Linked DNA regions of Rattus norvegicus. The protein of the gene in region 3 interacts with the protein of the main gene of each other region in a biochemical or structural test. Links are inferred from orthologs where the notes say so. Each region holds a gene or a part of one and is shown on either strand. Other genes may lie near its edges.

The links.
Region 1: the proteins of Cul4b (region 3) and Dtl form a complex in vitro, tested with the Homo sapiens proteins (2 studies listed by BioGRID). The link is inferred for Rattus norvegicus from reciprocal best matches to the Homo sapiens genes CUL4B and DTL.
Region 2: the proteins of Cul4b (region 3) and Rbx1 form a complex in vitro, tested with the Homo sapiens proteins (4 studies listed by BioGRID, with this or other methods). The link is inferred for Rattus norvegicus from reciprocal best matches to the Homo sapiens genes CUL4B and RBX1.
Region 4: the proteins of Cul4b (region 3) and Ambra1 form a complex in vitro, tested with the Homo sapiens proteins (2 studies listed by BioGRID, with this or other methods). The link is inferred for Rattus norvegicus from reciprocal best matches to the Homo sapiens genes CUL4B and AMBRA1.

Annotation. Positions count from the first base shown.
Region 1 is NC_086031.1:105,683,122-105,687,102, forward strand, and holds the start of Dtl (denticleless protein homolog), read right to left. Parts: upstream 2,801-3,981; 5' UTR 2,693-2,800; coding exon 2,641-2,692; intron 2,619-2,640; exon of another isoform or gene 2,358-2,618; intron 2,346-2,357; exon of another isoform or gene 2,091-2,345; intron 2,078-2,090; exon of another isoform or gene 1-2,077. Other genes in the region: Ints7 (integrator complex subunit 7), read left to right, coding at 3,150-3,243. UniProt on the Homo sapiens protein: Substrate-specific adapter of a DCX (DDB1-CUL4-X-box) E3 ubiquitin-protein ligase complex required for cell cycle control, DNA damage response and translesion DNA synthesis.
Region 2 is NC_086025.1:114,869,709-114,873,778, reverse strand, and holds the start of Rbx1 (E3 ubiquitin-protein ligase RBX1), read right to left. Parts: upstream 2,801-4,070; 5' UTR 2,796-2,800; coding exon 2,718-2,795; intron 241-2,717; coding exon 162-240; intron 1-161. UniProt on the Homo sapiens protein: E3 ubiquitin ligase component of multiple cullin-RING-based E3 ubiquitin-protein ligase (CRLs) complexes which mediate the ubiquitination and subsequent proteasomal degradation of target proteins, including proteins involved in cell cycle progression, signal transduction, transcription and transcription-coupled nucleotide excision repair.
Region 3 is NC_086039.1:122,157,800-122,161,299, forward strand, and holds part of Cul4b (cullin-4B), read right to left. Parts: intron 3,002-3,500; coding exon 2,829-3,001; intron 656-2,828; coding exon 503-655; intron 1-502.
Region 4 is NC_086021.1:98,155,489-98,159,425, forward strand, and holds the start of Ambra1 (activating molecule in BECN1-regulated autophagy protein 1), read left to right. Parts: upstream 1-1,137; 5' UTR 1,138-1,383; intron 1,384-1,694; exon of another isoform or gene 1,695-1,852; intron 1,853-3,937. UniProt on the Homo sapiens protein: Substrate-recognition component of a DCX (DDB1-CUL4-X-box) E3 ubiquitin-protein ligase complex involved in cell cycle control and autophagy.

The sequences.
Region 1 (3,981 bases), on a different chromosome or scaffold from region 3:
TCGAAAACAAAAGGCTACATGTAAATGCATGTGTATAATGTGGGATTTTAAGTCCATTCAAAGAAGAATCACATAAGTAAAAACTGAAGATACAATTTGCTTTGGATATTTTCACAATTAAGCTAATTCCTTAACTCTGCCTCTCTACCTCAACTAATATTCAGACTGATAAACAGCATTTAAAGTGACTCATTGAGCAAGGCCTACTAAGTCCATTATTTCTGCATCTCCCCATAATTCACTTTTGGATCTTTATGAATATGAACCTGTAGTATTCCCCAGACCCCAACACTCATCTGGAAAAGTCCATTCTTTCCTCAATACACAGCTAAAGGCCCACACTTACAAGAAATATACAACAAGGCTTTGCATTTTCAGAGGATCAACACCATATCAATTCAACAGCTTCCACATATTATTTCCAAAGCTGTTGTCTGTCCCTTTCCTATCAGCTGCTTCACTTCCTTTCTATCTCACAAAAGGAAGGTGTCCTTCCATCCCCATCTTATACCTTGCACTGTCAAAAGGTGAGCTACTATGTGTCCATTACAAACATTTAAAAAAGATAAAACTAGTGAGGTCCTAACTATGAGACAATTTGAGATCATAAGGCGCACCAGATACCTAAGTCTATTTCTTTAAAAGATGCACTTTCAATAAAAATTTTGCTTTTTGCTTAAAACATAAGTCACTTGGTTTTTACCCATTATCCACTATGAATTAACTATGGTTATAATTTATCGGGTATTAAAACCAAAGAAAATAGCACTTTATATGCTTTTTGATGTAGCATGCTGGAGTGGTAAGAACTTTTAAATTACAATAGGATAAATTTGGGGGAGAAATAAGGTAGGAATATTCAGAAGAAAAAGCAACCGTACAAAACAGCTGAAGCATTTGCTCACCTTTGAAAAGCAGAAACCACAACTCCCAAGTTGGTATAATTGGGTATGTAAAAGGTTAAGGTATATTTTTGCATGTTTAAAGCTTACACTAAAAACTTTTAGATATGGATTTAAAAATTCTCAAGAGTAAGTAATTATATTCTATTTTACAAACATCAGCAGAGAAAGGAAACTAAAAGCACATTTTGGAGGCATATTATAATCCAGGGAGTAAAGTATCAGATTCCAGTCTGGGGAAAAGGAATACAGAAAATGGAAGAATCAGTTTGTGGTAAAGAGGCAGAGTCAGTGGGGACGAAGGAGATAGATTCAAGCAAGCTTAGGGGAATTTTTTTGAAAAGGTCATAATGAGGACTATGGAGTCTTTGAGTGACTCTCAGTTTTTAGCTGGGATACCAGTTTAATAATGTCAGTCCCCAAAGTAGGTAACAAATTTTGGGGAAATGCCAACTCAGTTTGGGGCTTCAAAATGTAAGATGCTTGTGTGCCTGTCTAGATTAAGATCAACACACACAGCTTTTACAGAAACTAATCCAAAATATAGGGACTGGAATAATGTGAGCACAGTGGATCCTTACTTAAGGCTATAATCATCCAAGCAAGTGGGCACAGCAACCCAGGAGGGGAAAAAGAAAGGAGACACACAGATTTCAGGAGGTAACAATAAAGGAATTCCAATGCCTATCACTGAACCAGTATCTGTAAACAGGAACGACAGGCTGAAAAGTGGATAGATAGAAAATATGTCACATAGGAAAAGAAGGTGGAGTTGAAACTCAGATGCTGTAACTCCAAAGACCACTCACAAGCATTGTGCAGGGCGGCCATTCCTAACACAGGGGGAGTTTTGTAAAGTTCTAGGAGAGAAATGAGCAAGCAGAATGTTAACTACAAGAGTATCCAAGGAGGAGTAAGAATACAAAGTTTTTGATCCGAGCAGGACCTCAAGGAGCTTTTCCTCTTCTCAACATTATTAGGCCCACTCTTCAAAGTCTTAGTTTAATCACACATAAACCCAATCGCATTGCCAATGTTTCTGTAAAGCTGCCCAAGAGAACTGTAGGAAATGAGTTGGCCTTCTATATGCTAACAGGAGAATATGGCTGAATTCCACCGTGCAGAGAAAAACGAATTTAATCCTGTTTCTGGAAATACCTAGGCATCAAAACACATTTGAAACAATACCTTTCCATCTATTACCCGTGGTCGCCTCGTGGGGGTAGCTATGGGCATCTTTTAGTCTGTATTTTAGAACTTTTCAGAACCTGCAGAGATGGGGGAGGGGGCTTTGGCGCCGAAAAAGCAAGATTTAAGCGACTTCTCTGCCTGACTGAGTTCCTCAACTGCGGGCCACGCGCGCTAGTGCACGACAACGAACTTGCAGGGATCGCTAAGGTTCTGCAAAGATCGTACATCGCCTGTGCCAGTGCGTCCCCCATCCCCGACACACACCAGCCAGCTAACTCTAGTTAACGCGCGATATTGACGTAAGCAGCCAGGGGCCCGGGGCGCCAGTTAACGTCCTAACTTCGGCCTCCGTTCCGAACTAAAAAGCTCGGTTACGGTGAAGAGTGTCCTTCCAGAAGGAACCCGAGTACGAGGTTCTTCGGCGGTCCTCACTCGCCCGGATTCGCTCCTGCCGCGGGAGAACTCGAGGCCCGGAGTCGGCAGCGATCCAAGGTGGAGCGCCTGGGGGGAGGTGGTTCCCGCCACGGCCGTTGGGACCGTTACTCACCGTTCCTCAGGACGCCGAGCTGCGGCTGGCGGAGCACCGAGTTGAAGAGCATTTCGTCCTGAGGAGAAGACTCAGCTGAGGAGAACGCCGAGGAGATCGCCCCCAAGTTCCGCCGGAGCCTCCGCTTGCGCCCTCCACAGCGCGACACGGTTTTGCCTCCAACTCCCGCCACTGCGAGCCCCGGCCGCCAAACTCCGCGCCAAACTGACGTCATGCTCTCTGATTGGCTCTCGTCGCAGCGTTCTGGAGCCTCGGAGGCTCGGCCCCATTCTAAGCCCCGCCTTCCTCTCGCTCAGCCGCGGGAACCCAGGGTTCACAAACCCCCTGAGCGCCTGCGCGGGGGGGGCCACAGAAGCGCGGGCGAACCGCCGGGCGGCCCGGGCGCATGCGTACACTGCCTGACAGCTCACGGAGGGAAAAATCCGCGAGACCGCGGCGGGAGAAGATGGCGGTGCAGGGGAAGAGTTTGCAATCTTTGTGACTAGGCGAGTCCGGTAACTATAAGGATCATGGCGTCAAACTCAACCAAGTCTTTCCTGGCCGATGCCGGCTATGGCGAACAGGAGCTGGACGCTAACTCCGCTCTTATGGAACTGGACAAAGGTACGGAAGGAGGGGAACGGGAGAGGCATCTGGGGGGAGTGGCGCCACCTTGTGGCGGCAGCTAGAGGAGCTAGGAAGGCGCATGCGCCGATGTATGGGGCGGGAAGCGCCGCTGTCTTGGATCCTGCGTTTGGGCGCTTGCTGTGCTGTTGGAGTGGCCTTGCACAGCGGGAGCAGAGGACTGCGCTAGCGAGTACGCCTTTGACCACTTGGGGTTACAGTCTCAGATTTCCCATACAGTAAATGAGACAATTCCTAAAAATCCTGAAGTCGGAGATTATATTTTAAAACGTTCAGTGCAGGTGAAACCTTCATCAAGAGAGCCATATGGTTTCCTGAGCGTTTTATAGCGATTTGTCTTGTGAGACTTCGAATGGCGCGTTCTATAACAGGTTCCATAAGGATGAGAACATGGTTCCATAAGGAAGAGCATGGCTGAACGCGCGCATTCTCTGCAGACAAGTTCCACGAGTTAGCGTCCCTTGTGCAGGTAGCCAAGAGAAATGACTTTAGGGTTAGGAGTTGAATTCCAGTTCTACGAAAGCGATTATGGGAAGCGACGTTATCAACTAGCCTGATTTGTCTGCAAAGTGGGCAATTTAAATGGCAGTGATATGCAAAAAGATGCATCTATTAAATGCTGAAGAGATACTCCTTTGTCTCCGGGTGGATAAGTCGCTAGGCAAGGACAGATAGTTATCTGTAAAGAAGTCCTGTGTTAATGTGAGACGTTTGTTT
Region 2 (4,070 bases), on a different chromosome or scaffold from region 3:
TGTCTCCAAAAATAACAACATGCAATCTACTTCAAACACTCAAGTACCTACGGGTTCTGACCCTGCTTTGTATTCACTGGTAAAGAAGACAATTGGGCACACGAGGATGACCGCCATTTCTCTCTTCCTCAACGCCTTCCCACCCGCCCCGAGTTACTTACAAAGATCCATAATGTGGTTCCTGCAGATGGCACAGTTATCAACCACAATATCCCAGGCCCAGAGGGCTACTGCATTCCACTGCAAGGAGAAGAGGGGAAACAATGCATTTTCTGGGTAACATAACAGACTCGTTAGGATTTCAGCTGCGGCTTCAGTTACCAACTCCCTGGCCATAGGGCCTAGCAAAGAAAGAATGATTTTTGGATTGCATTATTTGTACAACATCAGAGGGTAACAGCAGACCACGTGTACACTTCCTCATTCCTGAACATGGGTACTTTTAATTTTTTTTTTTTTTTACTTTTATTTATTTACTCTCCATTAGTTTAAATCTGGGATGGGTACAGCATCACACGGATTCTGTGTCCAATGGCCTTTGCAGGAAGGTTGCTTTGGAATTTGGCACGAACCACGCCACTGTTTCCATGGGCCCGAGTTACTTTTCCCCAGATCACTCTGGTTTTGTTTGGTTTGCCTCCAGGAGTCACTGTATTGTTTTTTGCTTTGTACACATAAGCACACCTCTTGCCTAAGTAGAACTCAGTTTCATCTCGGGCATAAACGCCTTCAATTTTTTTTTTTTTTTCGGAGCTGGGGACCGAACCCAGGACCTTGCGCTTCTTAGGCAAGCGCTCTACCACTGAGCTAAATCCCCAACCCCAAACGCCTTCAATTTTAAGAAGAGCCGTGTACTCTCTTTGGTTCAGGAGGCCTGGCTTGTAGCCAGCAAAAATGGCCTTGCACCACAGCCTTCCAGACATACTTGTTTTTTTTAGAAGTCCTGTTCCCAGTGGGCTTCCAAAGGCGCCAAGATGGCGGAAAGAGGAAGGCAAGCCCCACCGCGCCAATTTTTTTTTTTTTGGTCTATAGCATAAAATAATTTAGCTAGCCAAACCGACGTGGGAATATTAGAGCTATTTTTTGAACACCCATTTTAGCTTCAAGTACAAACTTGAACTAATGTGGAGCTGTTCCTGACAGATGTGGTCGAACTCAAAATCTGCCTAAGTATTTGCTCTCCACGCAGTTTTGGACTCGGAGGAAGAGAGGTGAACAGACTGAACTACGATAATAAATGGATCAATCGCTAAGGGGATAATCGTGGGATAAGCTGGATAGTGAGTTACCTACCCAGTGTCAGCACACAGAACAAGGTCATCACTTACACCTCACAGCACTGCAAGCAAGTCAATCCAGTGCAATTTTCTTGTCCTCTTACCAAGGAAACTGATGTTCCCAACGTTCATATGTCCAAACTATTATTTTGCTAGTTCTAGTAAATTGATCCAAGACTTACACTGGGCAGGACACCCCTTTCTTTCTTTTTTTTTTTTCTTTTTTCTTTTTTTCTGGAGCTGGGGACCGAACCCAGGGCCTTGCGCTTGCTAGACAAGCGCTCTACCACTGAGCTAAATCCCCAACCCCTAGGACACCCCTTTCAAGGACTACTTTGGTTTGACTTCTCAAATTCAAGTATTCGAGTCTAGTAAATTCGACATTATTTCTATTATTCTTCCATATGGCTGCAGGCCGTAACTGAGCAGCAGTGGCCACAATGAGATGACAAAAAAAGAGTGGGGTGGGGAGGTGTTCTCAGCGACTCTTTCCAAAAGTAATACATACAAAAAAAAAAAAAACAAAAACAAAAAGGAAAAAAAACCCCAAACAAACCAACAAAAAACCAAAAACACCTTCCCCACTTCAAGATCTTCATTTTGAGCAGATTTATGTAATCTTAGGTAGGAACGGGCACTTTTCTCTTAAAGTGCTAGAAAACTATGAAGGGAATAGAATACAAAAGGACGTTTCATATTTTTTGTGTTCCCAGGTCATTAACAATTAGTACTCCGCCTTCTTAAATGGCACAAGTTCTGGGCTTGCTTTTAAAACAAAGCCCACCAGACTTTTTAAATTACCATTTTGTGTTAGAAGTGTACACGGGCATTAGAGAACCATTGGAGTGGCAGAAGCTATGTGACAACTAGTACACGTCTCGGAAGAACCAAGCTTTACACTTGAGACTGTGGGTTTAGAAGGCTAATGGAGGCCGCCATACAATCGAGGGCCCACACCAGGTCCCTCGGAGTCAATAGATTCTAGGATCCAGGAAGGGGCGGAGCAAGAACACCGGCAGAGCTCTTCTGCGGTGTCATCGCACGTTCCCGGGTTTCTCCGCACAGCCCCATCCTCCACCCGCCGCAGTCTCTTCACGAGTCTCCATCCTACCCACCCCACCCTGTCCTTCCCCCAACTCTCAGTCACTTCAGTGACAGCTTAAGCGCTTGGCTCCCGCACCGAAGTTAACCTCGCGTATTTCAGTAAGCAGCTCTGCGATTGGACCCACAGCTTTCCCAGCGAAACTAATATGGCCAAGACAGTGGGCCACCATCATGCCGATCAACCCTAGGCCCGCCCCCCGGCTTCCTTTAGTGGTACCCGGTCCCAGGAACGCCCTGAAATGAAGCCCTTTCCCCCGCGCCTAGCTCTTCCTCGGGCCTGCCAGCCATATCCGCGCCTCCCTAGATTCCTTGAGGAAGGCGCTGGCGAGACCCAACCTTTTTAACTTCAAAGCGCTTCTTGCCCGCGCCGCTGTTGGTGCCGCTGGGGGTATCCACATCCATCGCCGCCGCCATTTTGGAAACACACTGTCGTGCGACCACTGCGCCTGCGCATCGGCTCACTTTCCGCCGCCTGCCCTCTCGCCAGGCTCCTCCTCTCGCACCCCTCCCCTTATTGGCGCGTGCGGGTAGAAGGGGCGGAGGCTGCGGTCACGCCCCTTAAAGGCGCAGGCGGAGGTTCCCCGTCGCTCTCAGCTGGGGAGGAGGCTGGAGTGATTGAGGCGGGGTCGGGCGGGGCCGGGCGGAGCCGGGCGGGGCCGAGCGAAGGGAGCCAACTGGTGGGAATGTCCCTGAGGTCTGAATACTGCTCGCCTTCTGGGAAACCCTGTGGCCTGACTCCTTCTTCTGGGGCGGCGGCTGCTTCCTCCTTCTGCCCCAGAATTTATACCTGATCCAGACCCACAGCGCTGCCCCCAAGGCCGCGGTGCAAAGGGCATGGGCTGGTCTGTGGAAACCCGAAACTCCAAAACGTTCAAAACGGCCTTCTGCTGACCGTGGCCGGCTTGGGGGCCCTGTGACTCGGCTTTCCAAGGCCCGGGCACGGTCTGCGTTCTCAACTTCAGTTTGGGAAATTATTTGATAGGGAGAGAGAGGCCTGAATGTTCTGCCCAGGAACAAACAGAGCAGGCATTCTGCAGCTCTGCCTTCACCTTCTCACCAGAAAGACACGGAGAACACGTAGGAGCCTGGGAGATGCCATCCTCCTTTCTCCCCATTTCCCATCCGAGTTTTGCTACTTGTGCTACAGTTAAATTAGTACATTTGTAGTGGCCAAACTTGAATTTGGGTGAGGCATTCTGATTTTCTTACCGGTCATTACCACCGAGCTAAGAACCTGTATCTTTTGTCATGCTTCCATGTTTAGCCCAGCCCTCCACTGTTTTATCTCCTAAATTTGCAGAGGTATGACTAGAATACATCACCCTCGAACTTCTTATGTGTTCTAGTTCCCTCAACAGGACAACAATGACGTTTTATCTGAAATGCCCACTTGAAAGAAATACTGGCGTGCAATTCAGTGTGCTGTTGATGTCCTTGCTGAGCAGGGCAATACATCCGGAAACACCACCACAGTTTTAACTTGCACAAAGAAGACTTGCTACAGCCTGCAAGGAGTGTGTGTGTTGGCCCAAGTTCTACCTCCCACACTAAAATCGTCATTGATTTATGTGTCAATAGACTCCCTAAGGGATGCTAGAAACCCATAGTTAATTAAGATACTGAGGGCATAGTTATCCATTCTTCAACAACTATCTTGAGCATGCTACTTGGTCTTTTAATTTTTGTTTT
Region 3 (3,500 bases):
TGGACATTTGTACTGGATCATGCCCATACAGTGACCAATTCAAGTTTACCAGAACCACTGCTAGACATTTTCAACAGACACAGAAAATGCTTGACCACTAGACTAGGATAAAGCCAGAAGCCTCTGTAACAGATTTAACAAATATTTATATAGGTAACCAAGCATAAGGTATAACTCAGTCTAATAACCAAATCTGTCAAATGCCAAGACATCTCCAGAAAAGTAAGATTCAAAAGATATATAGTAACTAACTTCAAAAATTTCAGTCACATTTACTCACTAAACGTTGAAGTACAGAGAGTGGCTTTTGTAAACTGGGTATTTGCTAAACAAAGTTCTTTTGTAAAACACATGTACAAATATAGGAAATGAATGTGTGTTATTCCAAATGACTTTAAGTCTTTGAATATAGAAAAATTATATTTGAAAATTAGTGTCTAAAAATTAAACATATTCCCTTTCACCTATAACACGTTCAGTATGGAGACAAAGAAAAACCTACTTTTACTGGAAATTTTAGCTGATTGTAGACTTCTGAAACAAGAAGGTTGTGGCTAAGTGTTTTTCTCATCTTCATAATTCGGACGATCGCAGCATCAATTTGGTACTGTCTATCTTGAAATACTCTTTCTGTAGTGCTTGCTTGTTCTTCAACCTAAAACAAGTTTTCAAATACAGTCAACTTAATTAGGAACACAAATTGTATATTAGGGACATAATGTTATTGTTCTAAAGAACCTGACTTATTTAAATGAGAGAAAAAAACTTGACATAGTTTTCTTTCTGTTGCCACTACTGCCCTGTACCAATAAATTAATGCAATACAGGAAAAGAGAAAAATACCACCCTTGAGCATTAGGAGGTAGGTTCAGTTGCTTTCCCTGCAAACATAAGGACCTATTTCTTACATTTAGATCTTTGTGAACTCATGTAAAAAGATTCCTAGTGCCTGATGGACAGCCTGCCAGCGTAGCTAATTTGTGAGTTCTAGGCAAGTAAGAAACAATGTCAAGAAACAAGGTAGATAGCTCCAAAGGAATAACTCTGGAGGTTGTCTACTGACCTTCCCTAAAATTTAAAATGTTTATACCAACTGATGCAAAAACTTACTTCCATAAGTTCATGTGCATTGGTCTTTTACTTGCATGCATGCATGTATGCATATATACAGATACATATATATATACAGATATGTGTGTGTGTGTGTGTGTGTGTGTGAGCATAATAGATCTTCTAGAACTGAAGTTACAGATAGTTGTGAACTGTCATGTGGGGACCAGGAACCTGGGTTCTCTGGAACAGGAGGCACTGCTCTTAATTTTGCTGAGCCATCTCTCCGTCCCCCATGAAGTCATTTTAAGGAAAAGATCATAGAGATGAAGATTTAGGTATTTCAAGATTATATAACTATTTGGCACTCTGTTGATTTTTTCATGTGTGTTGGGGTATTCCTGTTATATGGGTGTAGTTGGGGACATCAGAGGAAAACCTTGGGCATTAGAGCTCAGGTGCCTTTCATTTCTGTTTGAGACAGGGCTCTTTATCAGCTTGAAACTTTGCCCTATACCCTAAGCTACCTGGTCCATGAGCCTCCAAGGATGTACTTTACTTTGACTTCCATTTCCTATCACTGAGATATGAGACACTTATTTTAAAAAAAAAAGAGTAAAGAGACACAACCATTCTAGATATCCATCATCAGATGAATGATTAACACTATAGAAATTTATATAGCCATAAAGAATAAAATGATGTAATCTGTAGGATAATGAATGATAATGGAGATCCTGTTCAGCAAAATAAACCAGACTTAAGGAAAATACATTTTGTTTGACATGTGGAATCCAGATCTAAATACACACACACACACACACACACACACACACACACACACACACACACACACGACATTAAAGTAGACATGAGTATTGAAGGAAAAAGGAAAACTCTGGGTTTGATTATATATGCAGTGTGTATGCACTAAAAGATTATATATGCAGTGTGTGAACATGCATGCTCATGCAAAAGACGGACATGTTAAAGCAAAGCGAGACAACTATTTGGGAGAAAGGAGACCAGCAAGTGATGGTGGTCCAGGACAGTGAGGAACTGAATATGAACAAGGAACACTACACATAGGGAAATTAAAGTAATAAGGAGGGGGCTGGAGAGGTGGCTCAGCTGTTAAGAGCACTGACTGCTCTTCCAGAGGTCCTGAGTGCAATTCCCAGCAACCACATGGTGGCTCACAGTCATCTGTAAGGAGATCTGATGCCCTCTTCTGGTGCGTCTGAAGACAGCTATTATGCACTTACATAGAATAAATAAATCTTTCTTTAAAAAAAAAGTAACAAGGAAGAGAAACAAAACAAAATCACATTGATGGGATAAAGAAATAACTCAATGGAAGAACACAAATGGTCATGCATTCCTCATCCCTAGCAATGCAAACCCAAGCAAGCAAAACAAACAAACATATTATCAAATACTGAAATGTATTAGGCCAGATATAGGCACAGAAAATGTTACATGAAATGGTATTGAGAAAATAAACTGTAAATTTTGAAGCTGGAAAGATGGCTTAGCAGCTAAAGAGAACATGAGTTCGATTCCCAACATCCATGTGGCTGTTCACAAACATTTCTAATTTCAGCTCCAATGGATCCAATGTCCCCTTCTTACATGTGGGCCCCAGCCCTGATGCGGTACACAAATGTACATGCAGATAAAACACTCAAGCATATAATATAAATTCTTTAATCTGTAAATTTCTACTATAAACACATTTAATCCAATATACTAGGAGTAGGAGAAAGCAAAAGGTTTACCGTTTCTTTCATCTGGATTTGATTGATCTTTATCCTGAATAGTTTGTGTTTGAAATCATCATTACAAATAAACTTGTCACCATCTTCAATATCTTTGCCCTTTGGATTTTTAGCCAGAACTCTAGCTTTGCCACAGGCTAGTGACTGCAGTGTTCTTCTTAATTCTCCATCCTCTGAAGAAGAAATAATGATTAGTTATTTATTTGTACCTTATTAGCATGAGCACCACATTCAATGTCATTCTATCTCTGACATTCTCTAATAAACTGCTTTGGTTTCCCCACTGTCACCAACTCCTGCTCTTTGTGCTATCCAGTAAAATTTTGTTCTACTTGTCTTGTAAAAGCATCTATTTATCATCCATGCAGACAATTACCAAAACCTCTGATGCAACGTTTCCCTTCTCTCAAGTCAGTTACTAAAAGGACACTCAACTTGGCTGTTTTACTATCACTTGAGTGTGTTGATATTCTCCATTCACCCTCTGCTCCACTGCTAGTGATGGTAATACTAACCTAATCCTATGAAAAGTCTAGACTCACCTTTTAAGTCTTCATTCTCCTTCATTGTACTATAGCTCTAGTAATTCCATTGCTGTTGGAAACATCCTACTACAAGCCTCTTTTAGAACTTTGTCAGAATTATCTTCATAGCTTCTAGACTAGAATTTTC
Region 4 (3,937 bases), on a different chromosome or scaffold from region 3:
AAAACCCCTCAGGCATGGTTACTTATAATTCCAGGACTCGGAGGCAAAAGGATGGCTGTGAGCTTGAGCTCAGTTTGGGCTACATAGTGAGTTCCAAGCAAGCCAGGCTACAGAGTGTGAGCCCCCACCTCAACCTCTCACAATCCCTCAGGCACACTCCAAATTTGGAACATGAAGACAAGCACATCAGAGTTTCAAAGTCATTCTTGGCTACATAGAGTTCAAGACCAGTGTGTGGGTTACATGAAATCCTGTCTCTAAAAACTAATTAGTTAACTAACTAGCTACTTAGCTAATTAAAAGCACATTTGTGGACTGTGGCTTTAGATCTTTGGAAGAAAAAAAAAAGAGAGAGAGAGAAGTGAGAAAAAGAAAAGAACAGGCTGGGAGGTTGTGGTGCTCACCTTTAATCCCAGCACTCCAGAGGCAGAGGCAGGCAGATCTGGGTGAGCTGGAGGCCAGCCTGGTCTACAGAACCAGTTCCAGGATAGCCAAGGGTACACAGAGAAACCTTGTCTGGCAAAACAAACTAAGTCAAATCATAAAAATTTAAAAACAAGGTACAGGAACTTTCCCCTCCCACCTTAAGCTGTTCTATGTTCTCCTGGATTGAACTGGGGCATTCATAGAGATTATTCCGTTTTCTTCAGCTCTGAGAGGAAATCAAGAATCAAAAGAAGCGAAGTCATTTGTTCAACTGGGACAAGTAGTGTAAGAAGTCTGTAAGTGTAGGGCAATCGTTGAACTATTAAGGAGAGCTTTATTCTAGTATGATTTATCTTCAATCAACGTGTTCACAAAAGACTAATTCCTTTTTCACTTAAGACAAGGTCTCATATAGTCCAGGTTGGCCTTGCTCTTAACTGAGTATGACTTTGAACTCCATATCCTCCAAATGCCTCCTCTTCCTAAATTCCTGGGATTACAACCGTGCTTGCTGTCTCCGAAATTTAGTTCTCTAAATTACTTCAACACTCGGTCACCAAGAGAAAATGGCAGAAACCCAGCCTACTCTATGCTTTAGCTTATGATCTGAATTTGTTTATTTATGCCTAGGAAGGCAGCGGGACTTGCAGCAGGAGCTGAGCAATGTTTCGGCACTCGGCTGCAGTTCCTTGAACGATTGCTTGGGCGCTCTTCCTTTGATGTCTGGGCGTTCGTGTGTTCGATGATCTTTTGCAGCGTCTTCTAGGTTGATGTCTCCAGAGCGGCGGCGGCGGTGCCAGGTCCTGGACTGAGTTATCCGGGAGACCCCGGGCTCTGGCCGCTTTCTTCCGCTGGTCGGTCGAGCGGGCCCCTCGCTTCCTTCAGCCTCTCCCCGCCTTCCGTCCGTGGCTCCGTGCGCTCGTTGGCCTTCCGGCCAAGCTCTCACTCGCCTCGCAGGTAGGCCCGGGAGGAGCCTGGGAGGCCCGGTCCGGCATCCTTCCGCCGAAGGCAGGAGGAGACCTTGGCGCCGGCCGGTGGGCGAGCGCGCGGCCCGTCGGGGCGCGCGTCGTGAAGGGGGTTGCGCCTGGGGGCGCGGCCGGAGGGCTGCCCGGAACTGAGGGAGAAGCCGGAAGGAGGGAGAGATGCTGAAGCTATTGGCCGGGTTCTGTAGAGAGGGGATGTCTGGTCCTGGACTCGTGTCGTCACCCCTAGATTGTGGGAGCTTGGCTCTCTTAGACCCAATTCTCTCTCTCCTTTCCTGCAACTCATGTTCCGGACGTCATTCCTCAGTTGCACTGGTGACCCACGCTGAGGCTAGCCTCGGAGTGCCCTTTGAGTTGGTGGAGGCTCTTGAAACTAGGCCCTCCAGCTCCTTGGAACGAAATGTCAGGTTCTATTCTTTTGGAGTAGGGAAACTGAGGCTGAGGTATGGGACCTGACTTTTCCCTATGACCCCGACAGAGCATTAAATATGCTGTTTGTTTTTGTCTTTAACAGTTGACCCTTCTCTTTCTCCCATTTTACTGGTCACTTTTAACTTAACAGTGATTTCTCATTTGACTACTTGGAACTCTTCTTTCTTAAGAAACATTTATTGTGTTACTGGAGGCTTCAGACATTAAGGGAGCAAGGAATATTTTTTGACTGGATTTGTCTTTTCGAAATTTGTATTTTAGCAAAAGTAGTAAGGATAGTTTGTTTTTGTTTTCTCATAAATAATTTTGTTTACTTCCACTTTACTTCTGATTAATACTGATTCCACTCTTCAGCTTACTCTAACTCTTTTCTGCTATGGGATTAAGTACTTAGTGCAAGATGGAAGATGGTTAAGACTTTGAACTTAGGTTCTTGGGAAGGTCTTTTCTAGGAGGTATCTAGAGGGAGTCTAAGGAGACTCTTTTGAAACTTTTTTTTTTTGTATTTGGTTAGTAGTTTAGTCATTTTATTAAGAGTTCAAAAGTCTGTGTAGAAACTATTCAAACTTAGTTAAATTGAAAATGAATCTTTTTGTGAATTTCACTGTTTCTCTTTTCTTTCTCAAGGTCTTAAGGTCAAGTGTTTTTGTTAATTCTGTTTGATCAAGTGTCATGATCCTAGTCATTCTAGGTTGGATAAGTTTCCACAGTATGTAAAATTCATAGGAGAATGACTTTAAGGTCGTAAGAAATTCTGTTTCTACACAGTTTTAAGATGCTTTATGAACTTTGGAAAGATGATAGAATTTTACATTGTTTCTCTAATTTTTTCTTTAATGTATGTGTAAGGTTAGTGAGGCTTATTATTCTTTCTCTTCTTTAGTAGTGCTGGGAATTTTGAACCCATGGCCACATACACATGCTCTGTCACAGAGATCTACCCCTGAGATTGGCAAGATTTAAATGAAGGTGATAGATTGAATGATTGGTTGATTGCCTGTTTGTGTGTGTGTCTGCACATGGGCATGCCATACATGCATGTGTTTGTCAGAGGACAATTTTCAGGAGTCTGTTCTCTCCTCCTAGTCTATAGTGAACTCAGGTTATCTGGCTTGACAGTAATCCCATTTTATTTTCTGAGCCATTTTGATGGTCCATGAAAATCAAATCTTTTGATCATAAGCAATTTCTTAGTTATAAGGACCTTGGTACTTTTTATAAGTGTGTAGATTCTTGATTGGGTAATTAGGCCAAAATTATATCTTCTTTGAAGAGAACTTTTATTATGGAAAAAATATACCAAAGCAAAGAAAGTAGAGGTAGAAGTAACATTGCCTGCTGTGACTTTATAGTTGTAAGTGTGTCTTAGTGACTCCCAATGAGTGACAGATAAGAAATGGTGATTGCTGTATATGTCATGAAGAAAAAGGTTAGAAACATTTTGAATGTTTCTGTAAGAAAGAACCAGCAGAAGTTTAAGTTGAATTGAGACAGATAAACTTGGTGGTGGGTGAGGTTATAGGAATGAGACTCTTAAGCTTCTCTACTTTTCTTTATAATTCATACAAGTTTTGCTTGATTAATTTTCGTATATTTTTTTGGTTTGTGTATGGTTGTTTTGGAGTTTTTGAGGCAGAGTGGACCTCTTGTGTTCCAGGCCAGCTTTAAATCGACTGTGCAGCTGAGGATGACCTTGAGCTCTTTGATCTTCCTGCCCCTACCTCAAGTACTGGATTACCAGTGTGAACCACTACTTGATGCTATATCTTGGGAATTACCAAAGTCAATTTGGGCCGTCTCCTGGCATTTCAGAAATGTTCACATTATGACTGAATCATTCTGTATTTTGCTAAGATGGTTCCTGTGGATAAGTAAGAGATATAAGCTTCAAATAGCTGTGGCTGTACATACTTTAAATTCCAACACCCCAGAGACCGATGTAGGAAGATTGTGAGTTCTAGGTCAGCCAGAGTTAACATCCTGAGACTGCCTCAAGAAACAAAAACAACAACAAAAATGAACACAAGACAAAAAAAAGACGAAAGCCTCTGAATGTTTTCTGGATTGTGGCTGGACCAGAGTTACTGAAATAAACT